Drosophila melanogaster: one gene and its partners. The protein of the gene in region 1 interacts with the protein of each later gene in a pairwise test. Each region holds a gene or a part of one and is shown in the gene's direction. Other genes may lie near its edges.

Evidence for each region.
Region 2: the proteins of CG43736 (region 1) and CG31639 interact in a two-hybrid assay, tested with the Drosophila melanogaster proteins (one large-scale study listed by BioGRID).
Region 3: the proteins of CG43736 (region 1) and bowl interact in a two-hybrid assay, tested with the Drosophila melanogaster proteins (one large-scale study listed by BioGRID).
Region 4: the proteins of CG43736 (region 1) and Poxn interact in a two-hybrid assay, tested with the Drosophila melanogaster proteins (one large-scale study listed by BioGRID).

What each region holds. Positions count from the first base shown.
Region 1 is NC_004354.4:6,866,411-6,871,972, forward strand, and holds the start of CG43736 (uncharacterized protein), read left to right. Parts: upstream 1-1,816; 5' UTR 1,817-2,370; intron 2,371-2,850; 5' UTR 2,851-2,979; coding exon 2,980-4,581; intron 4,582-5,562.
Region 2 is NT_033779.5:6,152,992-6,157,243, reverse strand, and holds CG31639 (uncharacterized protein), read left to right. Parts: upstream 1-2,102; 5' UTR 2,103-2,295; intron 2,296-2,348; 5' UTR 2,349-2,368; coding exon 2,369-2,545; 3' UTR 2,546-2,600; intron 2,601-3,216; 3' UTR 3,217-3,404; downstream 3,405-4,252. Other genes in the region: Muc26B (mucin 26B), read right to left, coding at 3,718-4,252.
Region 3 is NT_033779.5:3,769,520-3,775,422, forward strand, and holds the start of bowl (brother of odd with entrails limited), read left to right. Parts: upstream 1-2,180; 5' UTR 2,181-2,354; intron 2,355-2,400; exon of another isoform or gene 2,401-2,496; intron 2,497-2,506; exon of another isoform or gene 2,507-2,797; intron 2,798-2,941; 5' UTR 2,942-3,175; intron 3,176-5,903. UniProt on the Drosophila melanogaster protein: Putative transcription factor. Required for leg joint formation, acting downstream of Notch to pattern the leg tarsal segments. Functions in the terminal pathway during embryogenesis, acting downstream of tll in the posterior of the embryo.
Region 4 is NT_033778.4:15,831,336-15,837,200, reverse strand, and holds the start of Poxn (Pox neuro), read left to right. Parts: upstream 1-2,145; 5' UTR 2,146-2,518; intron 2,519-5,687; 5' UTR 5,688-5,865. UniProt on the Drosophila melanogaster protein: Transcriptional regulator that specifies poly-innervated organs (chemosensory bristle). Also controls the number of neurons.

The sequences.
Region 1 (5,562 bases):
ATATATCTATGTACATAGTTAAGCATATGACTAAATACGAATACCGCACTATTAGAAGGGGGTTTACATGGCCGTAGAGAAAAAAAAAACAAAAAACATCTTCCACACAAAGTACAAGAAATACCCAAACACACTCACGCACAGCTGACTAATTAGCAAAGCAAAACACCAAAAATCAAAACCCCCACTCAAAATCAAGAGAGATGCCACGAAACAGGGAGCCCGTAGAACGAAAGAATTAAAGAAAGCCACGCACTGGAGAGTCTCGTACCGTACAAACTAAAAAGCCCGGGAGACACCTGAAACCAAAGCCGAGAGATACCAATAAACTGCAGTGCCTTCCATTGACACTCGGCTTTTGAATACCCTAAAAACTGATTGGTGTACTTACGTACATTCATATATAAATTGCGTTTCGGTTTATATTGTGTAATCCTATTACACACATAAGCATATGATTGAATGAAAACAAGTAGAACCTTTAATAGGCTACAGTTGGTTCTAAATAAATTGAAGTGGACATTGCATTAAGTAAAATACATATCACAATGTGTTTTGGCGCAACTGTACGTTTAGTTTTCGGGACCAAATAACACCTGTTTTGATCTGACTGTACTTCGCGGGACTCGTTATTAACTGGCAGTTAACTTTTTAGCCCCGTATGATGGCGGCACAATGGAATTTGACTTGGACTCTTGGACCTGGCTAATTAAATTTTTTTTTTTGGTAAATGTTTAGAGTCGGGGCGACCTTTTGGAGCTGCGCCCGTTCGTGAACTCGTGTATTCGTTTGTTCGTGTTCGTGCTCGGTCGTTCCCGGTTTTCTCTGCCTTCTGGAACGGGGCCTGTCTTGAAAGCCGCAGAGCGCGCGAATACCGAAAACTTCTTGCATTCGACGGTGCGAAAGGGACGGGGAGAGTGATGGCATGTGGGAAAGGGAGAGGGCTAGAGCGAGGAGAGGTGGCCATCGAATGCTAAGCAGGGGCCTTTGCTTTTGCTTTTGGTGCTTGCCAAAAATAGAGCCGCCCCGCCACGCCTTCGCCCACAAAGAGCACCCACCCACCCACTCCCGCACAAAAGCAACAACATCATCATCACACCACCAATACCAAAACCAATACCAATACTGTGACCCAGCCAGCTCTCTGTGAACATGTGTCAGTGTGTGTGGGTCTTGTATATAGCATAGCTTAAGCTTTCCTTGTACCGTGGTTCAAATGCCAGGGGAAAATGGCATTATTATATTCTTATAGAGAAATAATATATACAAATAAATTTGTACAACTGTATGTAAAGAGTAAACATGTAACAAGGAAACACTAATTTTAAAGTAAATTTAGCTAGTTTGCATTATTTTTTACACCATTTATATGAGTAAGCCACAAAGAAGCTTGCCTTTTTTGATCTGCTTGATTCCCAGATGGTGTTACTAAAAAATAATGCGAATTTGAGAGAAAGTTTAACAATAAAAAGTTCAAATTCGAGATACATATGTGTAGAGTATTTAAAGAACTTAATTGTGAGGTTAAATATTCAACAAATGGTAAACTTGTAATCCCATAAATTCGTATTATTTTATAAAATTTTACTTTCATACTGAATTGGCTAAGATCCCTTAATTAATTTCCATAAGTTGCTTATGTCTTAACCACTGTGGGTTGTAACTCTGCAGCTACGTTGACGTCGGCGTCGCAGCTTAGAGCTAGTCGATGAGCGGAAGGAGAGAGAGAGAGCAGGCGTTCGTCGAGGAGGGGGCTAGCCGAATAGGGTGAGAGAGAGCGATGGCAGAGTAGGAAAATGCATAAGAAGGGGGGTGGGGGCGCAAAAGGGAGACGGACAGCAGCAACAACAATTCGGCAAAATGTTCGTGGCAGCGTTGCAGCGACGCCGACTGCGCTACGGGTGTTTGTTTTTTTCTCTTTCGTGTTTTCCGTTTTTCTTTTGCGCTCTGCATCCGCTGCCGCAGTAGGCGTCGCTGCCGGCGCGCTGCGCCAGTGTGGGTGAGCGCACGGCTGTAGGTTTGTGTGTGTGCCGTACACATTTTTCAGTTGACTTCGTTGAAATAATTTTCGTAACAACGATCACACTCGTTTGTGTATTGCGAAGACGGGCGGACGTGCGTCGGCGTCGAATGCGGAACAAGCGCTAAAGCAAACTAGCGAAAAAGTGCGAATATCAAAAGAAAAGAGAACCAAACAAATTGTTTTTTTTTTTCACCACGAGCGTCGTCGCAAAAACAACAAAAAGGAATTTAATAAACCAAAAGCAAACGAGGAGAGAGAAAGCAGCAACTAAATATAACAACAAATGCATTAAATAGTTTTGTTTTTTTTTTTGCCACACTGCCAAAATGCAGTTAGCGTTTGTTTGTGTAAGTGTACCACATGCATACATAATGTATAATTTATATGCCAAAAACAACAACAGCAATAGCATTGTGTGCAAAATGTTGAAATGAGCTCGAAAAACAACAAAAATAAGTGCGCGCATTAACACACGCACACTTGCAAAGGAAAACATCTAAAAAAATTATCACGTGTGTGTGTGTGTGTGTGTGTGTGTGAGACAGCCGGTCAGTGTGACCGTTTGTGTGCCAGAAAGAGAAGGATCGAACAAGCCGGCTGTTTATTTCTTTTATAGTTCTGTTTAAATAACAAATACACTTGCCAAAAGAATTTCATTTTGATGTGTGAATAATTAAAAAAATCAGTAAGACATAATGCAGTCTTTGTTAAATATATATTGACATATATGAGCATATATATAAATACATACACAAATAACATATCAAATTGAAATGCTGGCAGTACCAATCGAACTGTCATCCTAACAAGTAAATTTTTCAATACAGCTCCTAATATAAAACCAAACCAAAAGTGTGGATATCGAAAAGTCTGGAAAAGTACGATAACGCAAGATTACATAGAGCGCGAGCAAGACAGCATTCTAGAGCAAAAGAGCGAGAGTGTGCGGAGGAGCGATGGCCAGCGAGGATGTGCAGATCACTAGCGTCATCGATGCCAATGGCCAGAGCCTACCGCTCCACGGCAACAGTTTGGGCGGTCCCCTGGGACCGCCCGTCAAGCAGGAGCGTCCCGATGACGCCGAGATCCGCGAACTAGCTGCCAAAATGAAGGAGCAGCAGAAGCAACAGGCCGCCCAGCAGGCATCCCGTCAAGCGGCCATGCAGCACTCGAATGGGGGCGCCATTGCGGCATCCTCGGCCGGTGGCAACATGCAGCCGCCGATCACAAATGGCAATGGCCAGACCAATATCATGAACTACCTATCTCGTCATCAGAAACTACCCAACGGCACCATGCAGGTGGTGCCCGCCTTGGCCTCCAATGGCCGCTCGAATGGAGCCGTCAGCGACTCCGGCTCGGACAAGAAGTCCTCCACGGGACCCTGCGACGAGGAGTCCATTCAAGGCCACTTCGGCTGGGCTCAGTTCGGCAAGGTATCCATACCGTACATCTATCGCCAATCGGAGAAGTACTGCTCCGTGCGCATGATCGAACTGAAACTGCTGGGCAAATACCTTAACTGCCTGCATCCGGATATCTACTCCAGCTGCACCTGCGTGCGCAGCTACTACATCACCGATGCGGAGGCCCGTCTCTTCATCGAGATTAATCATAAGCATTGTGACGGCGAGTTCGGTCGCGACATCTTCAACCAAAAGGATTTGGTGGTGCGTCTCAGTGACGCATCCAAGTTCTATCAGTTCCTGGATATTTGCTATAGGAAACTAGTCTCCGGCAGCAAGACGCCGTCGGAGAAGTGCGGCTTTATTCGCATCAACAAGGAGTCCGTGGTGCCCTACACTGTGCGCAACAATCAGCAGGTTGTGCCGCTCTTTTATTTTGAGGGCGAGACCGAGAATCTAAAGACCAAAGCGGAGCTGCTCAATGGCTGGGACCTGGCTTATCTAAAGTTCTGCTGCAAGGTGCAGGGCATACGCAATGAGCTCTTCTCCAGCGAGAACGTGGCCGTGATTTCGCTGACGGACATCAAAAGCTACTTCCCAAATGGCACCGAATTCGAGGACTACTGGCCCAGCAAGGTGGTTGACTCCAATCTGCTCATTGGCAATCGGGCCAATGTCAACAACTCGGTCAATTGGACCCGTCAACCCTCGGCGCCGCCTCCAAAAGTGACCACCTCCGTTTCCGGATCGTCCGGCCCTTCCTCCTCCAGCGGCGGCAACATGGGCCAGAACACATCAGCCGCATCATCCTCCGCGAACACCGCTGGTGGCCAACAGGTGACCTCAAAATCTCAGCAACAGCACGCTGCCTCTGCCGCCGCAGCAGCGGCGACGGCGCATCAACAGCATCTGATGAAGCAACGCGCCGCCGCAGCAGCAGCTGCCGCCGGCGCCAATGGTGTGGCGAATGCGGCAAATAGTTTTGGGGCAGCCGCGGTAGCGGCCTTCAATTCCCAGGCGGCGGCAGCGGCGTCGATGCTCCAGCAGTCGCAGGGCAACAACAGGATGTTATCGCAGGCCACCGTCCAGGCTTTGGCCAGCAGCGGATGGATGTCCGGACAGACAAACCTGCAGCTCCACGCCCAGATGATGGTGAGTTGAGCACTAGGCTAGCTAACGTTTTCCTCCAATTAATGCACAATGTTTATCAAACTTTGGGATATCAAAGCTATTAGCAAAGTTTGAGAAGTAATGCCCAATCGTAATCTGGAATATAATATCAACGTTGCTATGGTATCATTTATTATACCCCAGCTACTGAACAATATTATAGATACAAGATTCTTTACACTCAACCGAATTATCGTTTTTCAAGCCTTATCTAGAAATTCGAGCCTACTTTAGAGTAATGCGAGTCGGTGTTTATGCAATGTTTGTGATATACATTAATCCAGCTCATTTGTGAATTGGCATTTTATTTTATTTCGTAAAATTGTAAATGGATACTTATTTATCACTAAGAGCTACTATTTTATACTAGAATCCTTCGGCTCAAAATCGAAATGAATGACATTTCCGGTACTTAATTGGTTTAACAAATTGTCTACCACTCCATACATTAGTAATGTCACACCCAATGTTAAATTACTTCTATTTTAATGGTATAGTATATTATAAAGTTCAAAAATGAACTGCTTAGAATGGCATTTAAAACTAGTTATTTGACTACCATTGATATAGAAAATCCAGGCCCGACTTTGGTGGAGACCAGTTCGAAAAAGGTGGAAATGGGATGTATTGGGGGTATTTTGGATGTATATGTGTGCGTACGGAGGGATTTCTCTAGAGAGTGCATGGCCGTGTTTTGTTGGCCTTGCTTGTAATGATACACAAACTTACATATGCTAGGCAGTACATATGTACATCGTACACATATATAAATCGCTGTTTGTGTTAGCGTGCTTTTTTTTTCTAGCTGATTTTTTCGCAGTTTGGCAACAGCGCAGCAGCAGCGTTCGACGGCATCAAAAACTAGGTCACCAGTATAGTGTGCATAGGAGAGTGGCTCCATCTCCCTCTATGCCCATCCCCATCTCTTTCCCCCCACTGGTGCCCTCTCTTCCCTCTTTGGGA
Region 2 (4,252 bases), on another chromosome or scaffold:
TTAGGAAAAGAAATCAAGAAATACGCTCCATGTTGATAACACATATTTAAAGAACAATACCCACAATTAGCAGCAATACAAAGTGTTTATTACAATTTTAATTTTTTTAGTTATTACTGCAGGTTGATAAGACCTCTGCAAAGGTCTTTTTAAGTGTTTACTGAGGTATTGGTTCTTTTAGTACCAAAAAAAAAGGATACCTGCGAGAGACGGCATAAGGACTTCTCCGGCAGAAGCGGGCTATTATCAATGTTGCCACTTCATTCAAATTAGGACAGGATCCTTCGACTCACGACTGTGACGGTTGCCACAAAAGCGTCTTTTGCCTTTTGCCTCAATGTTCAAATTTTAATCGCATTTCTTGGTCGTGGCCGAGTCCTTTTTACTCGCCTGTCCTTTGGCTTCGACACTTTGTCTCTCTCTGTGTGTGTGTGTGTGTGTGTGCAAGTGTTGGTTGGTTGAGGAGTAGGAGGGTGGTGAAAGGTCCTTTGGCCAAGAAGGCGGCGAAGCAGGAAAAGGGTTTTTTCTGCTTCTGTATGCCGTGTTTCGTGCTTTGGCCCGCACGTCAGCTACTCATTTGTTTTTGTCTTCCGTTTGCTGCGTTTCCCGCAAAATGAAAATGGAAATTGGTTTTCTCTCGGTTACTTACTGTCCTTACCAGAAGCACCAACACCCCAGCCACCACACCATTCTCTGCCAGCAACAACAAACAGCGCGGCATTCATTTAAAATGTAAATAAAGTGACAAATTACCTGAATTAGTGACACAACATTCAGCGAGTTTACGTTGCTCGTTTCAAATGGTTTTCGCTCCGCACCTTCGCTTTTTTCTTTTTTTTCTTGCTTGTGAAGTATTTACTTTTGTTTTTATTTTCCAGCGCCCAATTTAGCTGTTGACTTTGGTTAGCTGACTTCTTGGGGTAATTAAATTATTGCCCTTAAAGAGCTAATCGTAACGGAAAGAAAACTGACTATATAACTGCACTACCGCCTCTTCACAACCACATTTCCAAAGGAATGTCCCAGTCATCTATTAAATTCAATTATTGCCCAAGCAAAATATTGAATCAACGAGGGTAAGCCATGTATATAAACTTCCCAATGGCGCCCGAACAGGCTTAAGACCTTCGCACAGCTGTCGTGTAAATATTTAATTTACGAAATTCCATAATAAAATTTTCCCTCAGTCCGACGTCGTTCTGTTCTTTTTGTTGCTCCTTGGAGGCAGCTGGGTTTTCATTTCGCATGCCAATTGTTTGGCAAGTGTCAAAATAATAACAAGCCAACCCCCACAAGCCCCGGATTTTTTGGGATGGGGATTCGGCATGCGAAGGCCAAGTGTCAAAATATTTCCGAAAATTTTTTATGTTAATTTTGAATTAATAAAATAAATATTAAATCAGTGCGGCAAGAAAACGGCGCCAGGCGCCAGGGGTGACAAATGACAAATGGCAGGGGCATTCGAGCAGACGACTATATTAGAGACCAAAACCACTAATTTATCCCCAGAGAGAGGGGAGATCCTGGCAGCTGTTGCCCTTCAACCAACCACCCACCCATTCATCCACCCGGTCGAGTCTACCGAATCTGGGCTCGATGAACCCACCACCGCCGAACTGGAGTTAGCTTTGATTGGAGCTTTGCTTCCTAACGGTCGTTGTTAATTTAAATTTCCAAATTTAAAGATCCCTGAGCCAATTTGGTTATTGTATTATTAAATTTAACACTCTCGGCTCGTTGATTTTTATGGGATCCGCGGCATTTTCATTCCTAATTGCTCCGGCAATTCTTACATTCCGGCATCCCTTCGGCTTCGCCGGAGGCACCAGGCTGCTTATAACCCAAACTTTGCATTTCACAATTGGGGGTATAATCCGCGCAATTTTATGTGGCAACTAGGTTACAGTACACGGCTTCTAGACAGGACAAAGCAATATGAATTTGTTACCAACTGTAATGCTTATGCTGTATCATTACCATTTAGCCATAAATCTTAAGCACATAAATAATGTATAATTCTCGACATATTTGGCATACTCCTTTGCTGAAAAGATTCCATATTCTGTTCCCCAACTTAACTTTACTTTAATAACATCTATAGTATGCCATGAAAAAGGACTCAAGTCGAACTTTCTACTTCAATAGGTATGTTGCTAGTGAACGATCAGTTGGAATTTTTATCTGGAGCTCTCTAGTCAGGCCAAAACAGCACTGAAAATCTCTGAATAAAAATTCACTATCCAAATTCCAAGTTAACACCTTAAGTTTTTCCGTTTCTGAATCCGTGAAGCCTAGGTGAGTTTTGAATAAAAAAAAAAATACGACGAAGGTGTGTTTCTATAAAGTAGCCTCTGCCCGAAGCAACAATATGTGCGGTTATGGATGCGGTCCCTATGGCTATGGACCTTCGGGTCCTTGCGGACCATGGTGCGGACCCTGGTGTAGTCCTTGTGCCCTCTCGCTAGGACCCTATTCCTGCTGTGGACCCAGTGGATGCGGACCAAGCGGCCCAGCGTGTTGGCCGTATGGCTTGTACACCTGCTAGGCTTCAGAAGGATATCAGAAACGTGTGAGCCATTCCCCAAGAAATTTAATACCAGGTGAGTACGTTACGCCGTTCGTGTGTGGGATGCTGGGCAAATTGAAATTTTCTTACGGCCCAAAACAATGTGCCGCGCGTTGGTAATAAAAATTTCACCGACTTTCGGTGGATGCGGGTGGCTGATGGGGGTGGGAGAAAGGGGAGCGGTTAGCGTGTTCGAGGGGCGTGGCAGTTCAATAAATCTTTTGCAAAAAGCCAGGCGGAGGCGGCGGCTGTGGCGTTCGATTGTAATCAAAACTCTAATTTGAATTCTTCAGCTGCATTTGCAAAAGGGTAAAGCCGATTTTATTTTACAGACCTGGCAAGCGTTTCCGTTTCCAAAAAGAACGCGAAAAAGCGAGGAGCTGTAAACGGGCTGCGCGGAAAGAGGGCCATGTGTTGGCTTTATTGCGAATTTTTCATTCCTGTTCCTTGTTTATTGGCACTGATTTTTGACCGCCTACTGTGCGAGCTTTGACTTTCGACATTCAGTCCCCATTGATTCTAGCCAACTGGAAAAGAAATTTCGTTCAGTAATATATCAACACATATGGCCCAACATATATCTATAAATCTATTCTATACAATAACCATATCCTTACAAGCACCATCTAATCAACATCCTTTTCTTTCAGCTCGGACAATGGCAATTACATTGGATAGCATAATAAAAATATGTTCCCGTTGTTTTCATTAAAGACCATAATAAAATGTGGGGAAAGGCAGATGGAAATCGCAGCCCCTAACAAATTTGTCCACCAATCCTTTCGCGAATCCGCTTAAGCCTTTTACATAAAATGTTGAAAAAGCTAGAACACATCTTGTGCCTTTGCACCTTTGTTCTTTCCACTGCCAGACGTGTCTTGGCAAATAGCTGGTGGCTAAAAGTATGTTTGCAGCCTGTTCTTCTCTTTACTATGGGGTTTAAATTGAATGTAATGCGTTGTCACGTATTTATTAAGCTTTGAACTAAAAGGAGTACGGATACTTTAGATTTATTTTTTAAGCTTGTATTAGCTTTTGCATATATTGAAATTTTAGTAAATATGATAAAGAATCGATCGGGCACAAATATCAAGGTGGGGTCAGGTAGTGCTATTCGTTGGTGATTTCGATTAGGAAGCCATCGTCAAGTTTTATGCTTGTGGCTGCACGCAACGCGTGTTCTCGGGCAGATCGCAAATGCCCTTCAGAGCGTTGAAGTATTTATCGCCGCAGCTCACCAACAGTGGCTTTCCATATCGGCAGATATAGTAGTCGGAGCAGCTCTTCAGGGAGGCCAACATGAAGCCATCTGGCTTGTTGCGGCACACGTATTTTGTATAGGTGGACATGGTTAGCTCTTGGGCTTTGGGAGCCGACAGTTCATCGATTTCCAATGCGGGACGAACGGCAGGGCGCACGGGTCTCGCTGGTCGCACTTTCACAGACGATGGCCTCGCCTTCGAAGATCCGGAGACTCCGCTTACGGGTCCACATTCTGTTGTCGTTGTTGATGATGCACAGCTTGTTGTGGTCTCTGGTACACAGGTTGTTGTGGTTGCTGGTGTACATGTCGTAGTTGTAATACCTGGTGTACACGTGGTTGTGGTTGTTGGTGCACAGGTTGTAGTGGTTGTTGGTGCACAGGTTGTTGTGGTTGTTGGTGCACAGGTTGTAGTGGTTGTTGGT
Region 3 (5,903 bases), on another chromosome or scaffold:
AATGACAAATGTGCCTCTTGCTGACAGCCCGGGGGCATTGAAATGCATCTAAACATCATTAATTTGGCTCAACGATCCGATTCCCATTGGAACCCGATTCAGATTCGGATATGGTCCCAGGCCCAGCCCAAAAGTATCAAACACACCAGCTACCTGCTGGGGCCAACGAAGCATTTCGAATGCGATCAATGAACCTGTTGCTTTTGGCCCTCTAGCTACAAACTACCAGCTGAACTCCGAGTTGGCCACATGTTTTACACAAATTTCAAGTAATTTATTTTAAAATCGTAAAGCGATGCAAAATATGCAAGGAGGGAAGCCACTTCAACCGACGGGCACTCAGAAAAATCACAACGATCTTATGGTTCGCATTAGCATATATATCTTATTTGTACATCTTTATTTTAAGCAAAAAGAGCAAGGTAAGGGTTAGATATTAGATATTATTATTAAACAATAGTCAATTTCAATTTTATGTATTGTGGAATCCAATTATAAGGGAGACCAATTATGGTAATTATTTATTTTATTTCTTATTTACTTATTGTTATTTATATATGCTGAAAATTATTTTCCGAGTGCAGCAAGAGCAACAGTTGTTGATGGGGGAAGTCGACGACGACTAGCATAACAATTCGCTCGCCCTATGAGGCAGCTACCGTTTTTCCGTCTTCTCTTTTCTACCACTTATTTCTGGTCTTCTGCCTGTTGCCGCTTTGTATCTCCATTTCCACTTACTGTTTTTGCAGTGGCAGCAGCCACAATTTAGTTCCACTGTGCAGCACCTTAATTACATGGCTACGGACTCTCTTTTGTTGGGTACTTTTCGGGTTTTTCTTTTCTGCATCTCGGAATCATTACGACCATGATCACCGTCGTGGCCGAAACGTAACTCCCTCTACTTTTGGGACCCTAGCTGATTTTTGGTCTTTTTGTTAACGTCTTTTCTTTTACCACTTGACCGCATTGATGCTGCATTGCGAGCAGAGGTTGCCAGATTGTTAGAATAGAAATTTTACAGTCTATTATAATAATATAAGACCTATTTACATAGCCTAGCTCGAATCAATCATTTACCTATGTTTTATTTTTTTCCAAGTTCCCGTGCTCGCCTTCTTTTATAAGGACTAATTACCATTAATAAAAGTCAGTCTGGCGATAAGATGGTTTCTAGACTTATATTGTTTTACGACCTATTTCCATAAATGAATTGTATAACTCGGCTGCCGATTAATCATCAGTGTATATTTAAATACATATGTATAAATATTTTTCCCTAAAGCTACCAACTAATTATTCCAAATAAATATTTACTTATCAGTAGAACATTGGAACTTGTCATAATATAGATATATAGTCGTGTGAGTAATGCACTTTATTTCACCCCAACTTTCGACTTGGCAACCCCTTCTTCGAAGAAACCTTATCACCTTGCCTCCCTAAAAATGCTTTCTGATTAGTCATTCCCCTAAATGAAACCGCAACAAAAGCCGAAGAACAAAATACACCCCCACTAAAAAGGCATAACAATAAACAGGGAACTACCAGAGTTACACCCTCCTCCTCCTTTTCGGGTGAAGCCACCATAACGATCCATGGGCAGCAGCAGCAACGGCAATCTGGCAACACCCGGGCCAATTGTACCCTACCCTCTCGACTGGGCCAAAAAAAAAAAAGCAGTCGGTGGTAGTCGGTAGTCGGTCGGTAAACAGGTAGCGCTCTAACTGACAATAACTCGTCGTACGAATGCACGTTCCACGCTCCGCCAGTGCCAGTCTCCATATAAGTCCGTCCACGGGCCCATCCGTCCATTTAGCAGCGTGCGACTGGCGGCCGGTTGGGTTTGGGTTGAGTTCGGTTTAATTCCTCTCCTCCACTGAAAGAAATGTCGTACTATATTCAAACTGAATATAAGTTACTAGTTAATTCAGAAAAATATGTAAATGCATCCATTATTTATCTAGTATATTTAAGCAGATAGATTTATACTGTTGTTATTTACAGAAAATTAGAGCCTTACTCTTCAGATATTTAAGAATTGTTAAAACTTTTTCCACAGTGCACTAAGCTGGTTTTAGTGCCACTGCTCGCTACTCGTCGCTTGTCTCTTTCTACGCATTTCTCAGCCCGCGATTCTCTCGATTCTCTCTTTTTCCATTCGGGCCCTGTTTCTTGGGTTCGTGGCTCAGTCTTCGAGAGTTGATCGTGGCCAACGCACCTGCGCGCGGATCGCTGGTAATAGCTGTTGGAAAAGTGAACTGCATTGTGAGTGCCTCTCGCTCTATATCTATCTGTATCTTTCGCCGCCGATGTATCTTATTGAGCGGGCCCAGAGCGCTAGTGTGTGTGTGTGTGTGAGTGAACTTGTTGCATCGCCAGTTGCCTCGAGAAAAGCGCTTTTCAACTGCAACTGACTCTGTGTGTGGGAAGAGTTTGGGACTACTTGAGGAGCGAATTGGTAGCTGCACTGGCTTCAGCTCCTATTTCAAACAAAATGTAGAAAAACACATTTCAGCTGCCGTGTATCTCTCGTTCTCGTTCGGTTTTCAGTTCGTTGAGGTTGAGGTTTCGGTTCGGGTTTTTCTTCGTTCGGTTTTCATATCTGTGAGATACAAATACATCGTGTGTTTGTGCGCGAGTTGTACGTGGATTTTGGAAGGAAAAAAACTACGTGGTTTGTGGTAGCTGACTGCCGTTGATGCTGCTGCTGCTCCCGTAACCGCCCCCCTGCCGCCCCCTCAGCCCCACCCCCTGGGGCGATCGTGCCGTGATTTGAATCTCAAAATTGTCCCTTAGTGTGCGTGTTTTTTTAAATACATTTACTTGAGAATGATTCGGTGAAATACTTGTTAAAATTAAAATCAAACCTGAAAATATAACAAAAAATTTCCGACAAATATTTTGAAAATTTTAATAAAATTATTTACTTTTAAATTCACAGAATCGTATTAACAGAAGTCTTCAAACAAATACAACAAGAAAAAACAACATACAATTCAAGTGCCACTTAAATGATATAAATTACTACTTTAAAAACCAAAAACAATGCCAAGCATTTCAAAGCTTACAAACTGACAAAAAACCAGCAAAATCATATTGAAACAACTACTTGGATACTTTAGGACGCAAAGATAAAGCCCAAAGAGCCTGGGGCTTTCTTCTGTTTAACCCACAGGTAAGATTCCGCCGAGAACAGGCCCTGCCTTCCCAGATGAACACAAAAATTCCACACCACTTATTTTTACTTGTTTTATTTTTTGTTGTTTTTTTTTTTGTTTTCTGTTTGTGGCGTAGGGCTAGCTAATTACGTTTATTATTTTTTTATTTTGGTATTTTTTGCGTTGGCCAAAAAGGCAGCGAGTACAAAAATATAACGAGTACGCAGACAGAGAAGGAGAGAGAGAGAAAGACCCAAGATATATCTCAAAACCTGCTCCACAAATAGAATGAGACGGGGCGAAAAAACAGGAAAGAGAGCGCAACAACGTTGGCGGTTGGCGGACTGTCGACCGACAAGCGGCTTCCACTACAACTGCATGTGCCACTGTCATTGCCACTGAACTCAGTGTGGTGCCGCACAGTCCACGGTGGAGTACGTCCCCCATCCCCCCGCAAACTTCCCCACCATCCTGAACCACCCGCTTGCCCCATTGTTGTTGCTGTGGCGCTCAGTTCGAGTTGGTCGGTTCGAGCCGGACTCGAAAAACCTTCGCTTGGAATTCTGGGGGTCTCTTATGGGTGCTCTTGGTAAGGGTACTTCGTTTGAAAATGGTGTACACAATTTGTAAAATATTATTTAAAAATATTAATCGGTGTTAATAACGTTACATTTCTGAAAAACTTTAATTTTACAGAATTTCAAAGCATCGCGTTAGGTTTTAAAAATATATTTTACGAAATTTAGGCAAACTTAGTTTAATAAGCTGATAGTTTATAAGCTTCTTATTTATTCCAGTGTTTTTTTTTCAACAAGTCTACTCTAGTTTGATCTATAGTATTATTTACTTATTTTGCCTAGGGTATTAAGTGCATCGGCTTTATAGATCGTGATTTTTCACATGTTTCTTTCATTTCTGTTTCTTTTCTTTGTAAACCAGTTCACTTGTAGCCAGTGCCAGTGGCCAGTGGTCGCTCTCGCCGTCTTTTTCGCTCCTTCTCGGCTTGGAATCCGGTTTTTTTGGTTTTCTGTTTTCGGTTTTCGGTCGTGGTCGCTGTCTTAACTTGGCTCGATTCAGATTCGGAGCTCGGCTGGGGCTTTAATTGTCCAGAACGTGTGGCCAAAGAGGAAACGCAATTGCCGCAAGCTTCTGTTGGGTTCAGATACCGATTCGGATTCGGATTCAGCCTCAACCTCAGACCATCATCATCATCGTCATCTACATCTCTTGATTTCTTTTAAATGCTTTACTTTTTCCTTCATTTTTAAGCTTTTTTTTTGTAGAACGCCTCCCGCGCTCTCACAGTCTGAGTTATTATTATTTTTTTTTTGTATTTTTTGGTTGCGGTTCTATAAAGTTATTGGCTTTTGTTTCGCCTCAGTGGAGATCTATTTTGGATATTCATTGTCTTGCTTTATGGGCCATTTGGTTTTGTGTCCAAAAAGAGTTTTAGCATAAGAAAGGGAGTACCATAAAAGTTTATTACGCTTTACCTCTTTGGGTGGGTTTTCCTCTCCATCTTGGGCCACCAACTATCATTTTTCGGTTGCACCAGCAGCAGGGGAAAATGTTGCTGGTAATTGCCTTGTGGCAGGAAAATTGAAATCGAAATTAATTAAAATCGTGACAAAATACTTGATGAATTTAGATTTACCATAAAACCGCAGAACAATGGCTCGTTAGGGATCGCCATATTCGGGTTTTAAATTGAAATGGCTATATGGACACGCCTCGTTTTGGCACGTGTGTATAATTCACCTGATAGACCAGTTCATTTATTGTTGTTCTGGAACGGGAACTCATCAATTTTGATGGGGAAATTAGATGTTGTCTAGGGAATATGAATTTTTAATGCTATCAATGAAATCAGACAGCGGAAAGGTGATTATCAGTTTACATGTTTAGTTTTGGGCTGGGTTCCAAAAGTTGTCGAAGAAAAAAATATATAAATAATTTGTACCAAGATTTGTGTGCAATTAGCATAATCCAATTGCATTTGAATTAATAAATCATAGTCTTAGTGCTTCTACACTTATTAGCATAAACTCTTCCAATAAATAAGAATTGACCCATTGAAATTATAACACAATAGATTGCCTGAAAAAGTAGCAATCCGACCAACAAAAGATCTTAAGAGTTCTATTCAAGGGTGAAATTTTTGAATGGATTTAGTTCGAATGAAAGGAGCAGCACAATATGACAATAGAATTTATACGAAGATCGGCTTAGCATTCAAAGTGGATTACTTCAAGAGGGATTAGAAAGAGTCAAAGTTAAGCCGAAATAATTCAATTTTAGGAACTAACTGTCTGAACTTCAGTTAATCCTAAGAAGGTTTCAATTCAAAAAAAAATATTTATTTCAGCAACCAGAGGAATCTGGTTATCTGCAGCTCGCCATTTATCATTTAATAAAAATCCATTGGTGGATATTCTTGCTCACTCCGCGTGCTCCATACTTTAATCATAACAAATCTTTGGTCGTAACTTGAAAGCATTTTCAATTTATGCTAACGACATTATCAATCCTGCTGCAGCTGCATTCCCGAACCCATAAAACTTCATTAGCAGTTGTTCGTTTCCAGATTTCCCCGCGAAATTAGCAAAGCTTTTTAAATTAATGGCCAGCACACACAGGAACGCGGGGGGTGGCGGAGGGTTGAGGTGCAGGGTTCTGGCCAGCACTCCAAATGTGTAAATCTCATGGATATTAATCAAGAAAATTATAGACAAGGCTGCGCAGGAA
Region 4 (5,865 bases), on another chromosome or scaffold:
ACAGTTTTTTACAGCCCAGCTAAACGCACTTCCCACACAGATTTGTGTGTGTGCGCCTTAATTGGGGCGTAGTTGGCTTTTTGGGCGCGCCGACCCGGAGTTTGGGTAATTGCTGCCACTTGAAAGGCTCCGGGTCGCATAATCGCCTTGTCAGATAGGGCAAGACACACGTTGAAGGACCCGCGGAGGGGGTGGCCCATGAACAAGCATACTGGGCGTTGGGCGTGGCCAGTTGGGTGGGCCAGTGGACTGAAGGACCAAAGGACTCTGTGCCAAAAGAGACAGAGAGGTGTGTGTTGATGCCACCACGCACGGTTGACTCGCTTGATCTTATTACGCCGCGCTTGGTTGCCTGGGAAAAGTCAGAGGCAGCTGCTCGGATAGCTCGGATGGCTGGTAAATGGCAAATGGTTACCGGCAACCCGGCCTTTGTGACAGTTTTATCTCTGGCCAGCAGAAGCTATTGCCAAGCTCTTGCCATCCTCCTGCCATGGGAAAGCCATCGCGCTGAGTGGGCCTAAGAATTTTGCATGTTTTCGCACAGGTTTTTGTGGTTTTTGGTAGCAAGTGGATTTGCATACGCCACGCGGCTCCAAAAAACGGGTTAGGCTTTAGCCAGTCTTGGTGGATCAGGAGTTCCCCCTGCTAGGGACCATTGATTTCCTAGTCATGGCAACTAATTTCCATTCATCATGTTCGGTACCTCGAATGGATCAATAATCCGGACTCCTCCCTTGGAACAATCACAAACAATGTGACAGCTTTATCTTTCAGCACCAGTCGCCGTCGCAGTGAAAATCCATTTCCAATTGTGAATGCCGAGCGACAATTGTCGAATTCAATTAACGCCTGCGGCACCACCGAGCGTTACTTAACGCCGACACCCACCCAACGACCTCCGCCTCCTGCCGCTCCTCCTACTCCTCCTCCTCCTCCTCTCCCCCGGGAGTTTCCAGCGGGTGGGCAAGGACGAGCCGTAGCTGTGGCCGTAGCTGTGGCTGTTTCGCCAGGGTAACGGCTATGCAGTGTCACAATGCGGATGTGGATGTGGATGGGGTCCTTGGAGTGGGCGAGATACATACACTATCAGTTTCTATGAACCACACGATGCAGGACGTGGGCGGGGGGCGGGAGTGAGAGCGTTTGCGTGCTGCGTTGCCTCCGCCGATTGGCCGGAACGCGGCTGCAACGGCAACGCATCGGCTGCGGAAACGGCCACGGATAAGGCTACGCTCTGCCGCAACGCTCTCTGGCCGGAACTCGCCGACCATCCACACCAAATTCTACTACCCCCAGAGCGTTCACAGAGCGAAGGCGGGCTGCACGGACGTCATGCAATCGCACAGTGGAGCAAAAGTTGCAAGCTGGATTGTACTGAACTTGCTCGGTTTTTGCTCATAACATTAAGTTTGTGTACCAAGTTAGAAAAACAATTTTGACACTAAACTATTAGTTTCAAATCAGGTGGCTCATTCTTAACATTTCAAAGTAGCTTTAATGTAAAAGGTCATGGTATCATGCTTCTATAAGGTTTCCTTTCTTCCCAAATATATTACAATGTAATCCTAAAAAGTTTTGAACTCTTAAATCACAAAGATAGTTTAGTTAGCTGCACTTGAGTATCATCACAATTTTTACTACTAACCAACTAATCAACTAACCAGATTAGCAATGTTTATCTACAAAGGTAACTGCGTATTAGTCACTCTCTGAATATAGTGGCTTTACGTAATTACCCCTAATTTCAATGCGGTTTTCTATGCTGTTGAAATCGACCTAGCCCACTAGCCTCTAGCTTCACACTTGACCCACTGTGCCCGTGTCGATTTCGCTCCCGGAGGACGTGTCACCTGGCCCCCACCCCTGCTGCCGAATCTGGCCAATGGCAGCTCACCGTCGGCGCAGCGTGCGACGCATGCGCACCGGGCCAGCTCTCTGATTGGCTCTCATTGGCTGGCGGTGGGCCAAATGGGGCTGAAACCGACGCGGACGTCGCAGCCGTGAAAAACCGGTTACACCAGAAAAACGGTTCGTCCGTGAGTCCGTGAACGCTTGTGTCAGTGTGTGCGGGCCGCGTATTACGAGTGTGTTAGTGAGCGGCGGCTTTTCGGTGGCGTTTTGGGCCGCTCTGCTTGGCGGCGCTTCAGTAGAAATTGTCGGCTGATGGACCGCGGGCGAGGCACGAAGCCAACTCTCAATTTCCACTGCTACCGCCACTGCCACTGCCACAAAAATTGATCGAATCGATGCGCCGGTCCCGCGATTCGCGTGCAGTTAGTCGAATTTTTGACGGTCGAGTGACAAGGTGCGTCGCGTTCCGAACTCCCAAATAAGAATCATACAGAAGCCATTAGCCGTCGCGCCTCCGAACTGAGTAATCGGCCATTATCCGCGGAATAAGCCACACGGTGCATGCAAAACTCGAGCGGAAAGTGTTGTGCTCAAGTGATCAAAGGATTCGAACCAAGTTGCGGCAAAGTTATTGGATAGCCGGCGAATTCAGTGCTCTAAGTTTAAGGTGAGCACATCTTTTGAATTATATATTTCAAAAGTATAACCATCTAGGAAAGATACTATTCATGGAAGATTATCCGTTTTTGGTCAAGCTTTTATGCTTGCACAACGTTTTTAAATTGAGCTTCACCAAGTTATGTTGAATTGGTAAAGTTTAAGTGTTCATTTGCTATCTAGATTATAAAAAATAGAACATAAAAAGATAAAAAACTAGCAGATTCAAGTATCTGTTATAATATTCCATAGATCGTTTATAACGAATTGTCATTATTATTGGCATAAATTAGTTAGAATACATTTGCTTGGATCTGAAAATAAATTTGAGCTTTTATTTGAATCTGCTTCATTAAATGAAATTAGATGACAACTTTATTAGTTCACTGACAAGTTTTTAGATTGTATATTTTGTTGATTTGGATTTTACGCCAGATGTGCTATCTCGTTTTCTACTCGAGACCAGATAAGCTTAATTGAACTTGGTGAAAAGTGCACACATTGCATTTTGAGTGCAGACACATTCTAATCCGTAATATTATGCCAACACTTGACAAAAGCTAACGACGATGACTTATCGGCGTCTTAATTAAGATCTGGTCGCATCCATCGACCTGCCCATAATGACCACCATAAACGATCGTAATCAATTTGTTTGCGCATAATTTGCTTTCTCAACAACTAAATCATTAAAAATCGAGTCGCTCCCGATCAGGTTGCGGCGTTTTTGAAAGACTTTAATAACGATATTTGCTTATCGAGTTCGACACATCGGTCTCAAGTCCGACCTCGTCCCCCCAGACCCAACGCCCTGCCATCGATCGGCTTATTTCTTAATGAACGACGATCTGATCTAACGGATCGAGTCTGAACGGAACCAAACGGGGCGATCTTCATTCAACCGGCGGCGTTAGTTTCGGCCAAGATTCGATTCCAATAATATTCGAATAATATTCATGTTGTGAATGAAGTGGAAGATGCCACCGGATGGCCTGAATCGAATTTGCAATGCAAAACTACGGCCAATTGAACTTCCGCCGCACCGAGATAACTCATTTAAAGCGGACCAATCGATCGTTGGCCAGACTGCCAACGATCGATGACTGCCTTTTTGGCCAGACTTTAGTTTTCCCACGACCACGGCGAGCGACAAAAGTCAAAAATCGTATGCTAATTAATTCTTTGTCATGCCGTCGTTTCTGGCTGCCATTATGGCCCATTGACTTGTGTGCTTTCTAAGCCAAAGCCCAAGCCACCGGCTTTCGGGGCTTTTGGCCATCGGCAACGAGGCAACGAGCCGTCGGACAACTTACTTAAGCGTGGTCCAGAAAGAGCAAGCTAATCATATTCAAATGGTGAAGCGTACGTTTTATTATAATTTTTTTATTTTAATTAGCGGCTGTTAATGCCCCGCTTGGCTCTGGCTTCGATCGATCCATTGATCTGCGGGGGGGGCAGCAAATGATAAAAAATAAAATCAAGGGAGAGGGTTCCGAAACAGAAGCTCGGCCAACCTGTCGGTTCCACTTTCGGTAATCGCACGAATTTAAATTATTGTATGTTTAACTAATTTCTATCGGTTTTTATGTCTGTTCCGCTTGACATGTGCACGGAGCTAATTGAGACTTACGAGTTGAGGATTGTGGAGAAATCGGTAGCACTTGGGGAAGATACTAATTATACTCGTATATTATCCCCCCTGAAAACCAGAAAGCGGTTCTCGAGAACCCAGATTAGCAACATCCCTATATATATAACTCGCAATTTGGCCTCAAGATCGCATTCAACATTTAAAATTGTAGCCGTTGTGGATCTGGAAAAAACCTTTGCTACGCGTTCACATTTTATAAGGTCTCTTAAAATTAGAGGGGATTTTTTGGTCTCACCAGATACTTTGGATCACTGCTTGTTAGTTAGATTAGATATATTTCCAAAAGTAATACCTCAAATTTAGGTTTTTGTGTTCTGCAAGATACATTTTTCAGCATTCTAAGGATGGATCGTACCCAATAATTGATAATTAACACGTGTAGAAGTGGCAAAGCAAGTGGAATAGTCGCATATTTCTAGGGGTTGCTACTATGTCCGGAACTATTTAGTTTTGACTGCTCACTGGCCTCGATTGGGCCACGAAAAATTCCAGAGAAATGGGCGAGCAGCACGCCAGAGGGGAAATTAACCCTTTCATTGCGGCCAAATTGGATTTGGCCGGAATGTCTATTTCACTTTCTACAAAACCGAGTGGATTTGCAATCCTTATCGCACTGTCGGCCAAATCGTGGCCCCGGGCCAACTGCTAACTTTATGGCCTTAACGGCCAGCACGAGTTTCCCGTTCGCGGTGAGTGGTAACCGAAAAACTGAGACGGAGACTGAGAAGGTCCAAAAAAAACCTAATGAACAACTTAATTTCGAGTTCTTTTTTTCTCGTTCTGTTTGGTGTTTTTTCCGTTTTTTTTTTTTATTTCAAAGGGGGAGTGTGTGGTGCGTGCGGTGGTTCGGTGGCTTAACACGCGCATTTCGGTGGTTTTACGAGCTGAAAAGCGGCAAGGGAGCTGGACGAAGGACTCCCGGGCTCGGCAATTAAATCAAATGTGAATTCCATAATAACATGGCCATGACAAAGTGTGGACCGTCGGCCGGCAGTGGCAGTTACAGTTTTTGATTTATACGGTTCTTCAGCGCGTTTTCATGCCTCTGACAGGCTGGCGACAGGCTCAAATCCTGGCCCAAAAAGCATTAAGTAGAAAAAAAAAAAAAAAATAAAAACAGGAAGCGGAAACCACCGGCCGCAAGTTGGTGGTGCTGAAAGCCCATTTGCATATCTCTTTTGGGCCGGTTGCATATTTAACGAAATGAGCAATTGGCCAAAATTCATTTAATTGTTACCCCTGCCTGGCTAACTCTATACTTAGGAGTACGACTATAGCGACCTGGCCTAGATGGAGGGGGGGGGGGGGACCTTCTCGATAATGGGCCAGCAGTTCACGCTGCGCTCGGAATGTGCCTGATAAGCAGCTAATTTGAGATACTCCCTGGCACTGGGCGCTGGGCAATGGCCAGTGGTAACTGGTCACTGGTCACTGGACATGGCCATTGAGCACATAAACCACTGCACATTAAAACCTTCGGCCGCGTAGTTTTATAAAATAATTAAGTTTTATGTATTTTCCTTACTAGATTTTCACTGGTTTTTGGTTTTGGTCTTGGATCGGATCGGTTCTGGCCGGGCCTGGACGCCGTCCGAATTCGTGGAAGCCGTAAAAAGTCTTCGGGGAGTGGGCCGCCAGCATCATCCAGCATCGAACATCAGTTCGAGCAACGCCATTTGGGCCTGAGACTGAGCATCCTAATAGCC